Linked DNA regions of Drosophila melanogaster. Changing the gene in region 3 together with the main gene of any one other region gives a genetic interaction. Each region holds a gene or a part of one and is shown on either strand. Other genes may lie near its edges. The genes, in order: drl, hb and cas.

What was found.
Region 1: of cas (region 3) and drl, changing one enhances a phenotype caused by changing the other (phenotypic enhancement), as found in Drosophila melanogaster (one study listed by BioGRID).
Region 2: of cas (region 3) and hb, changing one suppresses a phenotype caused by changing the other (phenotypic suppression), as found in Drosophila melanogaster (one study listed by BioGRID).

What each region holds. Positions count from the first base shown.
Region 1 is NT_033779.5:19,188,296-19,193,394, reverse strand, and holds the start of drl (derailed), read right to left. Parts: upstream 3,054-5,099; 5' UTR 2,667-3,053; coding exon 2,561-2,666; intron 1-2,560. Other genes in the region: pigeon, read right to left, coding at 3,810-3,949, 4,295-4,519, 4,590-4,804, 4,864-5,096. UniProt on the Drosophila melanogaster protein: Probable coreceptor of Wnt proteins. Involved in neuronal pathway recognition and ventral muscle attachment site selection. Non-vital for development. May be part of a signal transduction cascade involved in learning and possibly memory.
Region 2 is NT_033777.3:8,691,782-8,699,556, forward strand, and holds the start of hb (hunchback), read right to left. Parts: upstream 6,042-7,775; 5' UTR 5,545-6,041; intron 2,820-5,544; exon of another isoform or gene 2,675-2,819; intron 2,392-2,674; 5' UTR 2,374-2,391; coding exon 97-2,373; 3' UTR 1-96. UniProt on the Drosophila melanogaster protein: Gap class segmentation protein that controls development of head structures.
Region 3 is NT_033777.3:5,712,419-5,718,778, reverse strand, and holds cas (castor), read left to right. Parts: upstream 1-1,973; 5' UTR 1,974-2,166; coding exon 2,167-3,018; intron 3,019-3,557; coding exon 3,558-4,251; intron 4,252-4,321; coding exon 4,322-4,755; intron 4,756-4,826; coding exon 4,827-5,228; 3' UTR 5,229-5,804; downstream 5,805-6,360. UniProt on the Drosophila melanogaster protein: Transcription factor that specifies expression of key genes in developing central nervous system (CNS). Essential for many, if not all, late developing neuroblastoma (NB) sublineages.

The DNA.
Region 1 (5,099 bases), on a different chromosome or scaffold from region 3:
GAGATTAGCAAGTGTTGATAGACAGACCCGAAACGTGACTGGCAACATCCATGGGTTACATGGATTAGGGAGGGATCTGCTCAGACAGCTGGCAGGGCTACAAAGTTGGGCAAAGTTAAAAGCCCCATTGAGCCAAGTGTGTGGCGGGGGAAAAGTTTTCCGAATGTTATAGGATGTTATAGGTTCTGGCTATATGAATTTAATTGCTTTCCTTGCCATTAACAGTGGGGTGCCACAAAGCCTGGGAGATCAGTGTCCTAAGATGGAATAATGGTAGTTCCCTTTAGATAACGTGTTACCCTTGACTATCCACACCCAACGCCGACAACTTTGGTCACTCATTGCAACCGCAAAATCCATCAACTGCACCGACTTTACATATCCGCTCATTTCGCTAACGAGCTGGGCCACAGAGCCACCGAACCAAGAAGACCCTCGCCACCGCCGCCCGGCTTGATCCACACCTGACATGGTTTGCATAGCATAGAGCACAGCAATTTGGGGCGCACTTCTGGATGGAGAAGTGGGTGGGCCATGGGATGGAACATGTGTGCTATGGGTATGTGTTCGGGTATGGATGTTAGCCTAACGAACAGTGAATGCCATGCCGCAGCTGCATGCAAGTGCATGGAGCTCTTCTTTGGGCGATTCTCCTTCACTCTGCTCCTGGGTTGACAATTTAATTGATGTGCACTCACACAAAGGCTTTTGAAGCGACCGCTAAAAAAATAAAGTGAAATAAAATAAAATAGAGTGACACCTAGCCAGGCGTTGCGAACACACACACAGTGAAGTCTCGGAAAGTAGGTCAGGCATGCAACCCGCTGTCAGCGCTGAATAATTGGAGAGGGTATCGCCACCCAATCCCGAAAGCCCAAAACCAAAAACCAAAAACCCTCTGGGGAAAGTGCAATTGGAGGAGTCGGGAATCGGGCGAAAAATGAATAGCGGCCACCGCTTAATGGGTTTTAATGCTGATTTCGTTTGACACTCGGCTGACACAACTAATAAATTTTCCGCTGCCATGTCAAGTGGAAAGCCTCAACTGGCCATCCATCCCATAGCAAACCATCCCACCCACTTGCCGTATCGCCTTTGATTGATTGTCTGCTGGCGCTTTCAACTGATTGCGAGGTGTGTAGTGGAGCAGCCAGGACTCGGGGGCCAGAACTGCAATCAAACATGAATTACGACGAGTGGCAGACGCTGATAAGCGGCTAGATAAGCGCCTGATTAGCAGCCCGGCACTGCAGTTCAAATATTTACCCAGTTATTCACAAGTGACGCGATGCAATCTGCGTACCTACATACTCCGCACTCCGCACTCCGAAACTCCTGACGCCCATCAATCAGCCGGAGGCACAAACACGCGAGTGTTGTAAATTTTACAACATAATTTTTGATAATTTTTCCCTATCAGCTATACAGCTCCCTGCGCCCCCGATCCACAGAACACACTGCCTACAAAACAAACACTTTGCATGTGTTTTATGATGCCACATGGATGTGGCACAACTTGGGCCGCTTCACCCTTTCCTTTTGGCCCATGGATTGAGGCTACTGATTTATTTTTTATATTCACTGGGTTGTAAATTCTTTGTCTGGGCCCTGTGACACATTGTAAAACAATTTTCCCCACTTTTATTAGCTTGGCAATCTCTTCGACAGGATTTGTGTGTGTTTCTTTCTGGCGGGGAATGGCTTGGGTCCAAGAAGACGAGGTTGGGGATGGGGATCGGGGCGAGGTATAAATATAAAAGTAGATTAAAGGTACTTGGGCTGCGGACTCGAGCTATCCCAAGCCGATTTGCTTGGCCAAGTGGAAACCTGGTTATTAGATGGAGATAAACAAATCTGTTTTGATAAGGGCTAAGAATCAGTCACTCGGATTTTTAAGCTTATTAGAGTAGTATTCTTCTATGGAAAATAGTTAGGCTAAATAAATAATATAAACTAAACTAAACTAAATATTTAAATACTCATTTTGGTGTCATTTTTTGACTACATGATTTTACTATTTATTTTCTTTTGAAGACGTTTATAAAATATATCTAAAATTGTTTTGTATTGTTTTAAATTGGATAAACTATGAAAAAATATGATTTTTTAAATAAAAACTTTGATTATAGAGGGATTACTTATCTAGAGATGAATCCACTTGCCAATCGAATTTAATTTAACGCAAAGAAATACAAATTTAAATCGCTTTAGCATTTCTATTTATCTAGATAAGTCTAACGAACAATTAAATCAAAGAAACAGGAAATCATGCTAGACAAATAGAATGTTTTCTTGTTTCTCGGTGAGCTGGCCAATTGAAGGAGGGACAATACTACTTTATATGTAGCTCCGAGGCTAGAAACAATTAAAAGGCATATATTATTTACGCAAAAAGAGTAAATAATCCCAGCAAGTCGCATTCGTTTGCCCAGGAGACAAAATCCCGGCTTGGCATAAATCAAATTTGATTTAAAGTCGAACGAACGCACACAAAGTGGCAAATAATTGCCCAGTTAATTGAAAAGCCAAAAGGCAGGCGAAAATCAACACGATTACTTACCGATTAGGCGCAGCACCTCGTGCAAGTTGAGGAAAATATTGAGATGGGCCTGACCGCTGGCGATCAGGGTCAAAAGTAATCCGATTGTTAGCAAGTTGGGGGCCATCTTTCGGATTCGATTAATCCGCCGGTTGTTTAGTCGCAATAAGAGGAAGAGATAGTTTTAACTGCAGTTCGGCTACTCTGCCGATTTTCTATTTCCCGTTTGGCACTCGCTAAAACGATTTAATTTCCGCTGCACTGCTGTTCACTTTTTGCGCTGCATTTGCAATTTTACGAGCGTCGCGTTGATTTCAATCGCGCTGATTATTACAGGAATTATTTGTCAGAGCATTTGGCACTTTGCCTTCTGGCCGGGAAAACTCAGGCGCACATATTTCCCAATCAGTCTCTGTCTCTGCACCCGTTTTTCCTCGCTTTTCTCGCCGTTCGTCCGCGTTCGTTTTCCGCGTTTGATCCGCTCACCGTGACGATTTTCCACAAACTGTCAACTGGATAAACAAACACTTCGCCACGAAGCGAATGGCTTCCACGCCGAGCGGAGTGGAGTGTGGACTGTGGACTGTGTGTGGCGCTCGTGGACTTGTTCTGTAGAACTTGAAGGCTGGAACCCGTATAACAGTCGTGTTGGAACCTCGAACTCGGTTGCAGTTCGAACATCTCATCGAACATCTCCAATTGGCTAAATACCAAAACTGGCATACTGTTCGATATCCTTTATTAAATTAACTAAACAAACATTCATATAAAGTTTAAAAAATAGACCCACAAACTTCCCAAATGAATTCGAATTAATGATGTAATATAATGATTTTAACCTTTTAACTTTTTTTTATTGTGTTTGATTCAATTTCGAATTAAACTCATGTTGCCAAAAATAAACATTACGACATTTTATACTTTATAAATCGTTAGTTTATTACAGAAAGAGAGACAGAAGCTTGCAGAAGCATAAAATAAATAAGTACAGAATATATAAATACGTACATGATTTTAGGTACATCAATTAACAACATAAATAATTTATAATTACAGACTTGGAATGTGTATCAGTCGTTACACAAATAATAGGAACAGAAAATTAATACTAAAAGCACACAGAAGAACCCTAACAAAAATCAAAGCTGCACGAGAAGAATCTTAACTAATACATTTGACAAATCAAATCTTTGGAATATTTGCAAACTGGCCTTGGCTAAGTACTTGATAATTTGACACAATACTTCATTAGTTACTCTTAACATTAAATTCAAGCCTCCAGTTTCAGCTGATCGATGGAGCTTAGAGTAGTTTCAATAAGCAGATTGTAGTCCAATTCGTTTAGACTGGCCTTCGCAGTCAGCAGGTCCAGAAAGGAGTCCAGTGGCGAAAGGGCTTCGGCAGTTAGATCTGCAAGAATACCAACCAAATTGGTCATTAGAGAGGTGGCTATGGTTAAGTTAGATAACAAGAAACAAAATGTGCAAATGGGACAACGACTGGCGAACACTGAACAGCGTTTCTTACCGGTCAGCGATGGGAATGTTTTCTACCAGATGAGAGGGCGCTGCCTGAACGCATAGCTCGATATGCTCAGGACGACCGTGGTTAGAATGAAAAGCAGAAAAACCAAAAGCAGCGAGTGACAAACAACAGTGTTGGGCTTGCCCAAAGCTGGACGAGATGTGTTCGGGTGAAGAGTGTACAAATGAAAAGTTAACGTGTTTATGGCGGGCTAACCAAGCAAGATCTTACCGCTCCGCGCATTATTTCGCGATTGATTCACGCAGGCCGTGGGTCGCTGCTGGTGCAACACCTCCTGCTGCTGACCCGACAGAATGTTGGCCGCATGCTCGCGTCCGCGGATCATAAGGCTGTCCGGATGCTGCCAGCATTTGAGTAACCTTTGAGCACGCTGCTTGGGCAGAGCAGACAAAAGTGATAGCTTCCGCTCAATGCCCAGTGGAGAATCTTCAATATCTGAAGGAATACATTAAGCAATAATGAAATGAACAGTATATGAAAACAAGTATATATATTTGTTACAAACCGAAAACAATGGCCTTCATCACATCCACTTGCAGTTCGAACACATGATTTTCCACATACTGCAGAAACATATCATAGCCCAGCGCACGATAGCCCAAGTAGGTGAAGAACGAGGAGAAACCCTCGGGCAGGGGAAACGCAATCGATTCCACAGCCAGGCAATAGCGCTCGAGGATTAGAAACAGAGAGTGCTGTTGATTGGCAGCCATTTGGTCACTGCAATCATTACAGACGTGAGTGAAAAGTGATCACATTTGAAATCATCACCAACTCACATCAACTGAAAACCCCTCGAGGTCTCCATGCGCGCATCTAGGCCTGCAGCACGACAAACCAGAGAGCAAAGAGCCCGCGAGAGTTCAAGCTGCGCGGAAACGAACTGGGAGGCCACCGCATGCACATGAGCTGGAGCCTGGGAGCGCTCGAAAAAGGTCTCCTTCAGCCAGCGGAAGCCAGTGTTGGGCTTTGACGTGTGCTTCACCAGGTGAACGCTCAGCTCGCGCAGATACTG
Region 2 (7,775 bases), 3.0 Mb from region 3:
TTTGGAAAACTTATGCTACGAATATATACAATTCTGGACAACGATTATATGATAATAGTGATAAATAATAATAACAAGGTGATGGTGATGGGGAACTTAGGAGTGAGCATTCCTGGCCATGTGAACGAAGAGGCCGACGGGTCCGTCGCACTTCTCGCCGCACATGTTGCACTTGAACACATCGTCGCAGCTGTGGTAGCCCATGTGAATGGTGTAGAGCACGGCGTCCTTGAAGAAGATATCACAGTACTTGCACTCGTAGATGGCACCCGCCGCCGCCGGAGTTCCGGATGGAGGAGCTGCAACCGCTGAGGTGGTTCCATTGCTGCTGGAATTGCTGCTGCTGTTGCCGTTGCTATTGCTGCTGGCATTGGAGCTGTTCCCCGAGCTGGACGCCGTCGAACTGGCACTGGTATTGGCCTGCGGCACATGGGCCGTCTCCATCGACTCATCTGCCGAACTGGTGCCCGAGCAGTGCTCCTCGGGCATGGGTTTGCGTCCGGCAATGGGCGAGGATGCAGTTGGCATGGGTGTGCTGGGTACTTTCAGTTGCTCGGGAGATGTCATGGCCTCCGATCGCAGTTGTAACAGGGTGTCCAGCTTGAGGACGCGTCCCTTGCGTCTCGAGGCATTCGAGCTGCTCATCAGAGGCGTGGCCTCCTCCTCCACCTTGAGATTCATGGCCAGCGGCTGCTGCGGTTGTTGCTGCTGCTCATCCTCCTTCACTGGCGTTCCTTGGGACAGATCCATGGCAGAGTCCACTGACTTACGCTCGTACTCATCGTCCTGCTCCTCCTCCTCATTGTCGCTCTGCTGCTGGTTCTGTTGCTGCAGTTGCTCTCGCATTCTTGGCGACAATTGGGCCAAGACAGCGGCCTGTTGTTGGGCGGCCAGCATCTGGAGATTGAGGTTCCAGTAGGGGAAGAAGGCCATGTTGCGGTTCTGCTGCAGAAGGCTGGCCAGAGGAGGCAGAAGATTGGCTGGACTGGGCAAGCTGGGCGTCTGTTCCACACTGGCCACACTCTTGGCAGGAGAGGCGGGCAGCGGGAGCACTGGAGATGCCGCCGGAGGAGCGGAGTTGCCTTGAACCAGAGGGAATCCTTGCAGGGCGGCACTCAGCTGAGATGTGGCGACTGGCTGAGCTGGCTGAGATTGCTGTTGCTGCGGAGCGACAGCTGCAACATTTGACTTCCGGCTGCCGCTGCCACTTCCTCCACTGGCAATCGGTCCACCATTCTTGCTCTTCGGACCACGACGCGTGCCGTAAACATCGATGACCAACGAGGGATTCGGGGTGCCATCCTCGTCCAAAACCATGCCGGGCTTGTGACCATACTTGCGCAGATGCAGCTTGAAGCTGTGGCAATACTTGGTGGCGTAATCACAATCCGCACAACGGTACTGATACACAGAACTGTGCGACTTGCGGTGCGAGTTTAGCATGGATTTGTTGACACACGTGTAGCTGCATTTGTCGCACTGGAAGGGCTTTTGGTTCTTGTGCTTCCGGATATGGTACTCCAAGTGGTGCTTGAACTCGGTGACGAACGGGCACTTCGGGCACTGCAGGATCTTGTCTGGTTTCATGTGGGTGCGGGTGTGCGCCCAGAAGTCCACCTTGGTGATGGCCACCACGCCGCAGGTCTTGCACTTGTAGTTCTTCATCTTGCCGTGCGAATTGTAGATGGGCATCCGGATGTTGGTATCATCGTCCTCGGACTCGGCCATGTACTTCATGTCCTCGCTGGAGTTCGACATCTGATCGTGCTCCTTCTCCGGCTCAATATTCGACTGACTCGACTTGGCCGGCGACTTAGGCGGTGTGACATCCATGGGTGGTGTTAGTGCCTGCAACTTCTCGCTGCTGCCAGTGGCAACTGCAACGGGCGCAATTGTGGAGGCAGATGTGGGCGTGGGCTGCGGACTGGGTCGCAGATTGCCGCCATAGAAGTGCTGCATGGGATTGGGCAGACCAGGTGGCGTCAGCGGATTGAATCCACCCATCAGATGGTGATGGTGATGATGTTGCTGCTGGGCTGCCTGGAAATGCTGCTGGTACTGCTGTTGCTGCAGCAACTGTTGCTGCAAGTTAGCATCGTAATGCTGCAGGCTGTTTTGATCGTTTTGGCTGGGTGATGGGGTCATGGCGCACAGGGTATCCATGGGTTGCTGCTGAAGCTGCTGCTGCTGCTGCTTGAGGAACTGTTCCAGGTGATTGGTCGAGGGAATGGGCGATTGGCGCGGACTGCTGGCCACGCTATTCCCGTCGAGATGATGACCTGGCTCCTGTTTGATATTTGCCGCGAACATGCTGTTGTACCAGGCGTTGTGCTGCTCGTAGTTGGTCGTGGCTGTCGTCTCCCAGTTCTGCATCTTGGCGGCTCTAGACGGCTGTAATGGATAAGAAAACAGAGAGAGTGGGGTTAGTGGGCATATTCATTTATTCATTCATGCACTGCGCCTGCGTCGAGTTTTTTCCTCTTTTTTTCCGCTTGTTTTTCATTTTATTTTTCCTCGCTTTTATTTTTTTTTTCTCTTTTTTTGGTGTGCTTGCGGCACCACCCCTAACAAAAAATACGTCAGGGGTGGCTGGGCGGCACCCACCCCCTGAAGGCGATTTGAGTGATTTTGTGTTCAAAATGGAGACACTTGGTAATGGCTAACAATATCCTACCGTTTCGTGGCCGCTCAGTGCGTATGATTGCGATTGTATCGAAGTATATTCCAAATTTGTCGGGATTTTCGTAAGGATTTGCAAGTATATTATTGGTGCTGCTTCTGTTGTGTTGTCGCAGTGGTAACAAACTCGTGACTGACTGAACAATTGCAACAGGCATTAGTTTATATATCGCTCAGGTAGACGGATGCACGCGTCAAGGGATTAGATGGGCAGAGGTGACGGGAAGTCAGGTACAGGTCGCGGATCGGTCGGGAATCGAGGATCACGGATCGCGGATTGAGGATTGCGCTCTTGATCCATTCTGGATTAGAGCAGAAACAAAAAATTATGCGCACTTGGATTTGGATGATCCGGGAGCTTAGCGGATGGCCAGCTTAGCAGCGAGCTGCGAATTTTCCACCGGTTTTCTATGGGGATTACGTTGGTCAGGAGTCGACAGCAGGAGTAGGCAGCTAGCGTGGGCAGTTTCGTAGTTAATAATAAAAAGTAAAAAGGATTGCGGGACTTAACTAAATTAACGGATCAGAACTGCTTACACCTGCGGGAAAACTCTAAGGACCAACTAAACTATATGCATAATATGTGCAGTATAATTATTACACACCCATTTGAAAAACATTTTCCTGACAACAATTTTCCGCCAGACATTTCACTTTGATTTGCGTAGTTTTTCTAATAATTCTCGCATTAAAATTGCTTGTTGCCTATATTTTTTCCATTTCCAATTTCACACTGAAAAATTGTGCAGTTGCTGCATTTTTGGCTAATTGTTTGTGCTTTCAAGTAAATATTATTAAAAACGCAAAACGGGAAAAAGGGGCATTTACGGAATATTATTATGGGAGGATGGTGCTGTGCTATCTGGCAGCTAAAATATCTACAATACTTAGGCATAATTGATGGTTCAGGAAACAGAAAGTGCACCACACAAAATGAAGCTTAGCATATTTATTTAAATTCGCTTTTGTGGATATTTTTAAAGAAAGCCAAAATTAATTGCTCGGCAAGTGTGTTAGTGTGTGTGCGCACTATGAAACAAAGAGAATTTTCGCCTTTCGTCTGGGCTTTTTTGTGCCATGCCCAACAACAGCAACAAAGCCAAACTAAAGGCCAAGTGTAAAATTAATATTACGCCGGGCAGGGGCATGGGCCAAGGGGGCAGGGGTGGGGGCATGGGGACCATGCAGTGGGGGTTAGTGGCGTGGTGTGGCCACAACGAGTGCAGCCAGGCAACCGAAACTGCAAAAGTAAACTAAACATGTGCTAGTCGTTTTTGGTGCCTCCCCCCCCACCCCAACACCGCCCCCTTTTTAACCCTCTAAAAATATCATGAAAATGGCAAAAATGGAAAAATTCGAAAACGCAGAAAATGCGCCACACAAAAAATGTTTTTGTTGAAAAATCCGTACAAAAAGCAAGCCAAGAGCAGGATATGCCTGCTTGTTTGCAGGCGTATATAAAATATATGTATGTATGCGTATACATATGTGTAGTTGCAACCGTTATGTTGTTGGCTTAGAACAACTTGTTGTTTTTTGGAGCTGCATTCGTTTAGGGAAAACTGCACTGCTGCTGCTGACTGAAGTGATTCAATGTCATTTGCGGTTTATAAATATATCCCGTATAATATGTGCATATTTATTTTTATGCGCCTAACAAAGCCCCATTTGTTTGAAATGCGCTCAGTTCTTTTTGTCGGCAAACATTAAAACTGTCGGATGACAATCAATTCTGCAAAAGATCGTGCAATAATGATTCCCATCATCATCCTAAACAAAAAAAAAAAACAAAGCCTGCGAGCGTCACATAGGTGTATTCATTATATTTGAAATGCATTTTGGCAAGTGCCGAACTATTTGCCATTAAAAAATTGCCACGTTGACTTTGAATTATAGTTCGATGTCTAAATTTAAATTATTAAAAAAGAAAAGTCGAAAATGCATTTGCCGAAAGAAGAGCGAAAAGAAATGCTAAAAATTGAAGGGGTTATTTGGGGGGCAGGAAGGCGAAAAAAAAACAACATGAAAGTCGACATGTAAACAAATAAAATTAGCTGTCAGGCGTAGAGGGGGGCGTGGCCAGGGGCGTTGCTTAGGAGGAGCAAATGAGGAGGGGGGGGGGTCGGTTGGGGGTTGGATATACGCTGCAGTTCTAGGCAAAAACAGACAGAGCGGGCAAAAAACAAGTTCACCCGAAGATCGGCCAAAAGCCAGACAGATTTTAAAATATTGTTTTAGAATTTTTGCCATTTGCATTTTTAGCAATGATTTACCACTCTGTGTGGTTGTGTGTGTGCATGTGTGTGAGATCTCTTGTTTGTGTTCCTAAGGTTAGACAGAAAAAGAAGCACTCGATTACAAACAACAAGAAGAGAACAAGAAAATGTGCAGAACTAGAAGAAAGTTGAGTACTTGGGATTAAAGGTGATTATGACATAGAATAAGCAAATTGGTTATCAGTCATCAGATTAGCATGAATTAATAAAGTAAAATACATTAAGCATAGTGCATAATAGCATATAAACGAACTATTTAAATCTGTTTCTTTTGAAAGTATATCACATGATGAATTATAATTAAACAACTATATATCGAATATATTCTATAAAAAAAAACAGATTTCGTATCAATTGAGAACTAAATTAAAATTTACAGGGCGTATGTAAATCCTCACAAAAACTGTGTATATTCTGGATACCCCAACATTTTGGCATTTGCTCCCGCAAAAGCGATTTGTAATTCTTGTTTATTTGTTTATCCGCGGAAAGCTTTTGCGAATTTCTACCTCCATGTGTTTTTTACGATTTATTGGAGGTCGAATGCAGTGTATAACTAGGATATTGGATGGTACGCCCAGTTACTTACCTTGCGGACAGTCCAAGTGCAATTCTGCGGGAGAATTTGGAAACGGGAACCGGGAGCAGGAGCAGGAGCACGTAAGTTTTCGCTTTTCGCTCGCGGACTCTCTCTTTCCCACTCTCTCGCTTGACCGCGGCACGGTTACCGTTAGACCAACACGCACAGTGCGTGCGAGGGGGAGCGGCGATGTGGGGGCTCCTTGCTCTTCGTTTTTGTCTATTTTTTGGGCCTCGCTTTTTAGCTTGCTTTTGTGCTTTCTTTTTCGCGGAATTCGCGCATGTGCGGGATGTGGTCTTTGCCAAAAAATAAGTTTTCGGGACAAAAGTCTTTTTGCAATTGGTTATCTTTTAGCACAAGCACGAAGTTTAATTGTATTTAATGGCAATATTTGTTTTGATAGCAGTTACGTTTCGTCCTTTGGATGTTTGGTTATTTTTGTATTTCAGTGGCTGCCTGTCAATGCTGGCGACTTTCGTTTTCGGGACTCGGAGCACAACTGACCAAACTCACGCTCAGCGGGCTCTTCTAATAGCTGAAAATCTCCTCACTGCTCCTCACAACAGTGCACTCGCCAAAAAAGAACTCAAATCTAAAATCTCAATTGCAAAGCAAAAACAAATGCCAGAAGTGCAACAACACAAAGGCGCACGAGAGCCGTTACACGGAGAAGCAGAAATCGAAATGAGAGAGCAGCCGGAGAGCATCAACAACGTAACGACGAAACTCACTCAAAACGGATACGGATGCTAGCTGTAAATCTGAGTGACTTTCCCCATCCCCAAAAGCAATAACTAAACAGCATCCCCTTCGTGGCGTTCGCTCTTTCACTCACTCACCCACTCTCTCGCTCTGACTCGCTCATTTTATCCTTTTGCATTTTCTGGCGCTGCATTTTGGCCGAATGCAGCTGCCTTTTTGGCTCTTTGCCGTTTTTTGGCATCTCCGCTTCACTATTGATTATTGATTTCTGGCCCAAAAGTGAGAGAGCGGAAATGGAGGAAGATGGGGGGCCTTCGCCAATTGTTTTTTGGGCAACTTTAAGCCCAGACACATTAACAACTTAGCCAACTGCAATTGGGACGATGGAAGTTTGGGCCGAGGAGATTCCTTGTTGCTTTAACACATTTTCCTGTTGCTGTGCGTGTTAACTTAATTTGGGCAAAGCTTTGCCACAATTAGCATTCGAAATTCCAAATCTCCTTAAGGTAGTTTGTGCATATTGGGTGTATTCCACCTTTTTAAGCTAATTTCGGAAAATGTATCATTGTTAGCTTGACAAGGATTATGGTTAGCAATAAATGCATATCATTAATAGTATCATTCGGTTTAGACCAATTTTTTTCCCAAGCGGAATGTTCGCTTTTAGAATGATAAATTAGGAGCGATTGTTCTAACTAGGTTTAATGACAAATTTTGGACTAAAAAAAAAAACTATTATTATTATTCATTATTCATAGTTCATTGGTAAAAACCTTTTTTTCTCTATACAATACAAAAGGATAACTTATTATTTGTATGGATCAGAGTTTTTCTAAAGAAAACATACATGCAAATTCATAATTAAGTTCGGAATTAATGTGCCTCCAGCTATTTTATTCAATCTCCTGTTTATGTGGAATATTTGGGCTAAAATCTCCTGTTTATGTCGAATATTTTGGCTAAAACTAAAGTGGAACGGGGAGAAATTAGGGCGTTGGCAGAGGGGGTGGGGAAAATGTAAAAGCAATATTTACAAAACAACAGAGCAAACAAATCGCCGCCGGAATGCAAATTATACAAGTTGCTCTCACATATCCAGAGGAATATATGTGTCAAAAGGACGTCTCGGGAACAGGTAGTACCGGAGGTAGACCTGCCATTGACGTTGACATGGCAAACCGGATTACGAATACGAACTGCAACCGGACTTAGCGAAGAAAGGATTAAAGGACGCAAAGCTACCTGATCGGCCCGCCCAGTTCATTAATCCGCGCATCCGAAGAAGTGCGACTGGAACTAGAGTGATGTGGATTTAAAAGCGATTTAAAAGTTGGCCGTACTTCTGCACAGGACATAATCCAACATTACGCAGTACGCAGGATCACGCAGGATCAGCGCCGCTGATCCGGAGGATCCAGTTAGTCCCGAGCGATTAGCGTTCGCTGATCAGCCCGATTAGCGTTGCTTAGGCGGGCGGGTGCTGTGTGGATCCTACCCAGTTACGTTTGGAAAGTTATGTAAAGTTGAAGTTAAGGACA
Region 3 (6,360 bases):
CATGGAATCAGGATCCGATCCTCTGAACTCGTCCTGCGATAACTCCAATCAACTGAGCTGGCCAGCAACAACACTTAACAAAGGCGACTAACAAAAGTTTTCTATTTCGAAACATTTGTAACTGAATATGAAATTGTCATATGTAAATTCCAGATCCAAATGCAAAAGCATAAACGCGAAGTAAGACTGTGAATGAACCTAAATGTATGGGCTTTTGTTCGCATTTTCATGCAGATTTCCGTACTCCGTTGCCATTTTACAATGTGGCATGGAACCTTTTCTGTAATCAATAGCTCCCAACCCGCTTTATTTGCCTCTCTGCTCTGGCTGCGTTATCCATGTCACTCAATTATGGCAACAATTGGTAAATCCCAATCCCACTTCAATCCCAATTCGCCAACCAAGTGACAAACCATATCCAGGCCTGATCCTGCAGCCTGTACTCTGCTCTGCTCTCTCACCTTGCCCATTGCCGAGTAAAATGCAAATCCAAAATCAATCGTACTCCGCCCCTCGTCCTCCGGCAATCGATTCGTCGATATTCGGGGATTCCCTTCCTGATTTGCATAAGTTTCCAGATAGCGCGCGTGCGCAGTCGATCGGCGCACCCGAATCCGTAATGCGGAGCAAACCCTCCTCCCCGATGTAGTGCAGGTCCATTTGCATAACACTGGCTGGAGGAGCTGGTGATCCGGATGTCGAACTTCCTACCCGATCGCCCGCTCCGCCTCGGGACGATGTGCCAAAATTATGCAAATGTTTTACACCAATAATTTATGCAAATTACGATCCGCAAAGGATTTGGTGATCCTGCGCAGCGGATGTTACACGTAGATGTCGCCAGCTTCAAATCGAAAATGTTTTTTAGGGGTTTGCTCAAGTTCAGAATTTCTGCAAACGTTTTTTTATATGGTAATTTTTTTTTGCAATGGGTCTTAGGAAATATTTGGCATTTTTAATTGTGTTTTTTTGCACGATTGTAATGCAGATTTTTTGCTCGATTGTAATTTTAATTTGCAAATTTGGGTTTTTATTTTTTGCATTTGAATGGATTTCGATTCGATTATTTCAAAAAGGACAGGCAGCTGCTCCAGCTTGATATCCTTTTTGCAACGCGCCAATTTCTTAAAAATCATTTCGATTCCCAGTTTTGCCGAAATTTTTGTGCACACAATTTGCATAGAGATGTGAAGGAAAAGGGAACAAAGATGCGATTCTATACTTTAAACGTTCTAAGATTTGATTATATTTATGGTAATAGGCGAATAAGATTGCCGATGCCAATATTTAGTGTGAGAAAGTATTTTTGAAAATCTTTTTTGAAATCGCTTATGAAAAAAATACTGTAGACGTCGAAATATTTAAAATATTCATCTTAGAATATGTATTTTTTGATAGAATAGAAAATATATAGAGATAATAACAAAAAATTTAAAATAATTAACTATACAGTTTCTTGTGCCCAGATAACTTATTTACCCACTTTCTGCACGTAACTTTGCCGTAATTTGCCGTAATATCTTTGCAAATTGCCTGCGATTTTGGATAAAATTCCTCTGCTGATCTGTGCTCTTCTTTCATTTGCTGTCCCTTTCTAACGCACGTTGGCCATGCGGGATTCCTTCACAAATACACGCTCCTCTTTCGCATTTTTTTTTACCGAAAAACCTCTCTTTTCTAGATAAATTTACATTACCGCTGGCGTTTTATTGGTCGAGAAAAGCGAGCAAAAAAACGGAAACCAGCCGAAAACAAGCTGGGTTTTCCCAGAGCATTTTCCTGCGAAGGGTCGGTTAAAAAACTAGGGGATGAAGGTCGAACCACCACCACCAACGGACTTCTCATTTTATTCGTTTTTTAAGAGAGCGAGAGCGGCGAGATCGGTTTTTTAAGAGAACCGGTGGCGAGAGGGTTGCACTTGGGCATGGATTTGCGCAATTTTTGCTATATTAGCCGGAGGCCGCGGAAGAGTTGAAGCAGTTTGAGCCTCGCAGCCGAACTTTGAGGATCGCTGAGACGAGACGCCGTGCAAGAAAGTCGATCCAAAATCCGAAATTCGAAATCCGTGCTGTGATCTGTGCTGAATATAGTGAAGAAATCTTAAAGAATTTTCAAAAAGAAATCCCAGTGCTGTGCTGAATATATCCGCGAAAGTGTGCCACAAAAATGTCCAACCAAATGGAGTTTATTATGCAACTCTACATGATGAACTTGATGAAGCAGCAGCAGCAAATGCAGCTCCAGCTTCCGCAGCAGCAACAGCAGCAGCAGCTGGCTGGATACACTTACACACAGAACGAGGATATCTCTAGCAGCACATCCGTGCAGCAGCAACAGCAGCAGCAGCAGGAGCAACTGCAGCAGCCACAGCCAGATCTCCGCAAGACAAGAACGCACAAGCGCATTAGCTCGCAAAACACCAACTGTAGTAGTAGCCGTAGTTGTAGTCCCAATAGTAATTTGATTGCTTTTCAACCACAACAATACCCAGGCGCTACAGCGGCAACTCCTTCCACTCCCAACAGCCACCCCAGCAACCTGGTCAACCAGATGCTGCTCCAAAGCCTGCCGCCGCTGACGCAGCTCATGTTGCAGCAGCAGCAGCAGCAACATTTGCTGACCACCTCCAACCTTCTACTAACACCCACCCACACCCCCAGTTCGCTGGGCAAGCAGGATCCACTGCAGCATCCGTTGTTGCTGGGCCAGTTTGCCGGCTCCGAACAGATGGCCACAAATAACTTCCTTCAATCATCCACAGTGACCTCCACGCCCATCGAGAGAGAGAAGGCAGCCACACCAGCACCCTCCGCCGGAGCAACTGCCGGCAACCTTTCGGCGGCCCAGGTCAAGTTTGAGCAGGAGTCCGCCGACGACGATGAGGACGATGATAAGCCGCTGTCCAGCCTCACCAGCTGCAGCTCCTCGGGCCACACCAACGCCAGCTCCGAGAAGCTGCTGTTGTCGGGCGTCCATCCGCTGGAGTCAACCACCGACAGCCTAGACTCACCCAGCATGGTAAGTGATCCGGGGATCTAGAAGGATCTTAACAGTTTCTTTTATCTCGTTTTATCACCATCAATTTTAAAGATACTGTCACTTGCAGTGGCAACTACGTAGTCAAAAAGCTATATATTGCGCATTTTTGTATTAGTACATTTGATTTAAATTCTAAATTCATCCCAACAGCTTGGTTCGCCATACTTCACAAACCTTTTCCAGTTGCAAAATAGACCATTTTCCAATTTCCAATTCAGAAAGCACTATATTTGTTCCCTATTTTGCTTTGTTTTTTTTTTTTTTTGGCTATGTCCCACGCTCTGTTGCTGTAATTTGAGAAAAAACGATTCGTGATTTTTGAGATTTAAGTGTGAGAGTAGCCAGAAAGCTCGCGATTCCGGGGAAAAGAAACAGCTGTGTCGGCAACGCGTGGGTTCTCTTGGTGGCTCGATCGCTGCCCAGCTGGGCACCAGGCAGTCTGAGCTGGGGATCTCACAGATGCATCCGTGTGTTGGTATTGACTCTAAAGTTCTTCCACCCTCTTTTTCCCACTGCAGTATACGCCCGTCAAGCAGCCGGCGGACTCATCGTACGGACTCATCACACCCGTCGACAGTGATCTGACCCCCAACACACCCCTCCAACCGACCCAAACAATATCCCTGCTGACGCCGCCGTCGAGTGAGCAGAGCAAGAGCCTGGTGAGCCTCTCGGCGGCCAGCGGCCTGGATGCTCTGCTCCAGAACGAGGAGGTACTGAAGAACCTGCGGAAAGTGTCCTCCTACCTGGAGTGCGAGAACAGCCTGTGCAGGCAGGAGAACCTGCGGGAGCACTTCCATTGCCACGAGGAGCCCTGCCAGGGCAAGATCCTGAGCAAGAAGGACGACATCATCCGGCACCTGAAGTGGCACAAGAAGCGCAAGGAAAGCCTCAAGCTGGGCTTTGCCCGCTTCTCCTCCTCGGACGACTGTGCACCAGCCTACGGAGAGGGTTGCGCCTACAACTGGAAACAGACCCACTACCACTGCGTCTACGAGCACTGTCCCAAGGTGTATGTGAGCACCAGTGACGTCCAGATGCATGCCAATTTCCACCGCAAGGACTCCGAGATCGTGAACGAGGGCTTCCGGCGCTTCCGGGCGCACGAGACCTGCCGCATCGAGGATTGCCCCTTTTTCGGCAAGAAGATCTCCCACTACCACTGCTGTCGCGAGGGATGCACCCACACCTTCAAGAACAAGGCCGATATGGGTAAGTCTACTTGGAAAGCTTATTAGCTGAACTTAGTTAATATATCATATATGTATTTCTCCTTGCTTAGACAAGCACAAAACTTACCATCTGAAGGACCACCAGCTGAAGATGGACGGCTTCAAGAAGATCCTGAAGACCGAGGTATGTCCCTTCGACGCCTGCAAGTTCTCCACCGTCTGCAACCACATCCACTGCGTCCGCGAGGGCTGCGACTACATCCTGCACTCCAGCAGCCAGATGATCAGCCACAAGAGAAAGCACGATCGTCAGGACGGAGAGCAGGCGTACCAGCAGTTTAAGATCAAGCAGGACGTGGAGGAGTCCTCCCTGGATGCCATGCCCCAGCAGCAGCAGCAGCAGCAGCAGCAGCAGCCCACCAGCCTTAGTCAATCCCAGAGCAGCAGCTCTGTATGCGGCGGCAGCAACACCTCCACTCCACTCTCCTCTTTGTCCGCCGAGCACTTCCTGGCTCGGAAACGCGGCAGGCCACCCAAGAAAATCGTAAGTTTGTCTGTATATTTTGGGTAATTTTCCGCGACATTAAATAGGCATATTTTCTCAATCCACCACAGCAACTGCCAGCCGACGCTCAGCAGTCGGAAGCCAAGCGCCTGAAAGTCGAAGACGAGTCCTCTAATCCCGCCATGCTCCTGCCCCAGTCCCAGCCAGCAGCCGCTGTGCATCCGCTGACAAGTGGACTCTTTCCCGGTCTCCTGCCCGCTGCCGCCGCTCCTGGAGTGGATCCCACAGCCCCTAACTTCCAGCTCACCCACCTGATGGCCCTCTTCCAGTTGCAGAATCCCCTCTTCTACCAGAACCTCTATCCGGGAATGACCCAGAATTCCTCCATGCTCGGCAACCTGGCAGCACTTAGCGCCGCATCGGCAGCAGCGGCGGCGGCAGCGGCGGCAAATGGAGCCGGAGTCCAGCAGCCGAAGGCAGAGTTTAGCTTTAAGCCAGAGTTTAAGGAGTAGGAAGGATGCGTGTCCTTAGGGTATTTTGCCAGCTACTTAGTTTGACCGACGGACGTTGGACATTGTACATACGCGCTTTAAGCAGGTTTAGGTGGGTTTTTTTGTGGGTTCAGGCAGATCCAGGACAAGGCATCCTTCCCTCCACAAAAACCAACTCAGCCACACTTTGAGAACCTAGAAGTCCCCTATACAAAGTGTAGCTGAATTGGCTTTTGCCAAACATTTTCCCCTTTAGCTTAGATTCTCTCAGTGCCACATTAATTTTTAAAATTTTCAGCCATTTTAAATAAAAAGGAAGAACTTTCTGAATTTAAGTTTGACTAAACTGTGATGTTTTCATTAGAGTAGCCTCTTTTAATTGATAGAGCGAGTGCAGGCTATGCAGGATATGCAGGACTTAGGAGACTTGGATTGTCAATAACATAGCGTCTAAGCATTACATTGTATGTGATATACTAATAAATAATGGCTAATTGTTTTTGCTTTATAATTTAAGGGAATAATATTATAATTCTAATTATAAACTTTAGTAAAATCAGCATTCTTCTATAATAAATAAGTCAACATTACCTGAATAAATTTTATTATGCCTCAGAGCTTATTATTTAAACACAAAATGCTTGAGTTATTGGGGGTTACTGGAAAATACAATATATAAAGTAACTAACATATATGTATACCCAACCACACATAAAACACTTAAACATTTGATTAAATAATTTATGACTTTATTTTGTTTTCATGTAATTGTTGGTTTTACTCATATGCTAACAGAAATCAGCTACACAAACTCAGGACGCCTGATAAAAACCGTCCCGCTAAGCAATATTTAAGTACTTTACACAAAATCAATTATTTTTTCCTTTGCTTGTATTTTTGTATTTTTTATAGTTCATAATCGCATATATGTATATGTAAACAATCAATACAATCCAAATACCATAATCATAAGCATAACAAAAGAGATTTCAGAAAGTTGTATCCTAGTCAAGAACAATGTACAAGCAAGTATCATCATTTTATACATTAGGTATTTGCTTTTAGTTTACATTGCAAAGTGAAACCCTGCGTGAAATGTACAAATAAAGGTAAACTAAAAATAACATTAAGAACTAATGGTCTAGAACTCAAG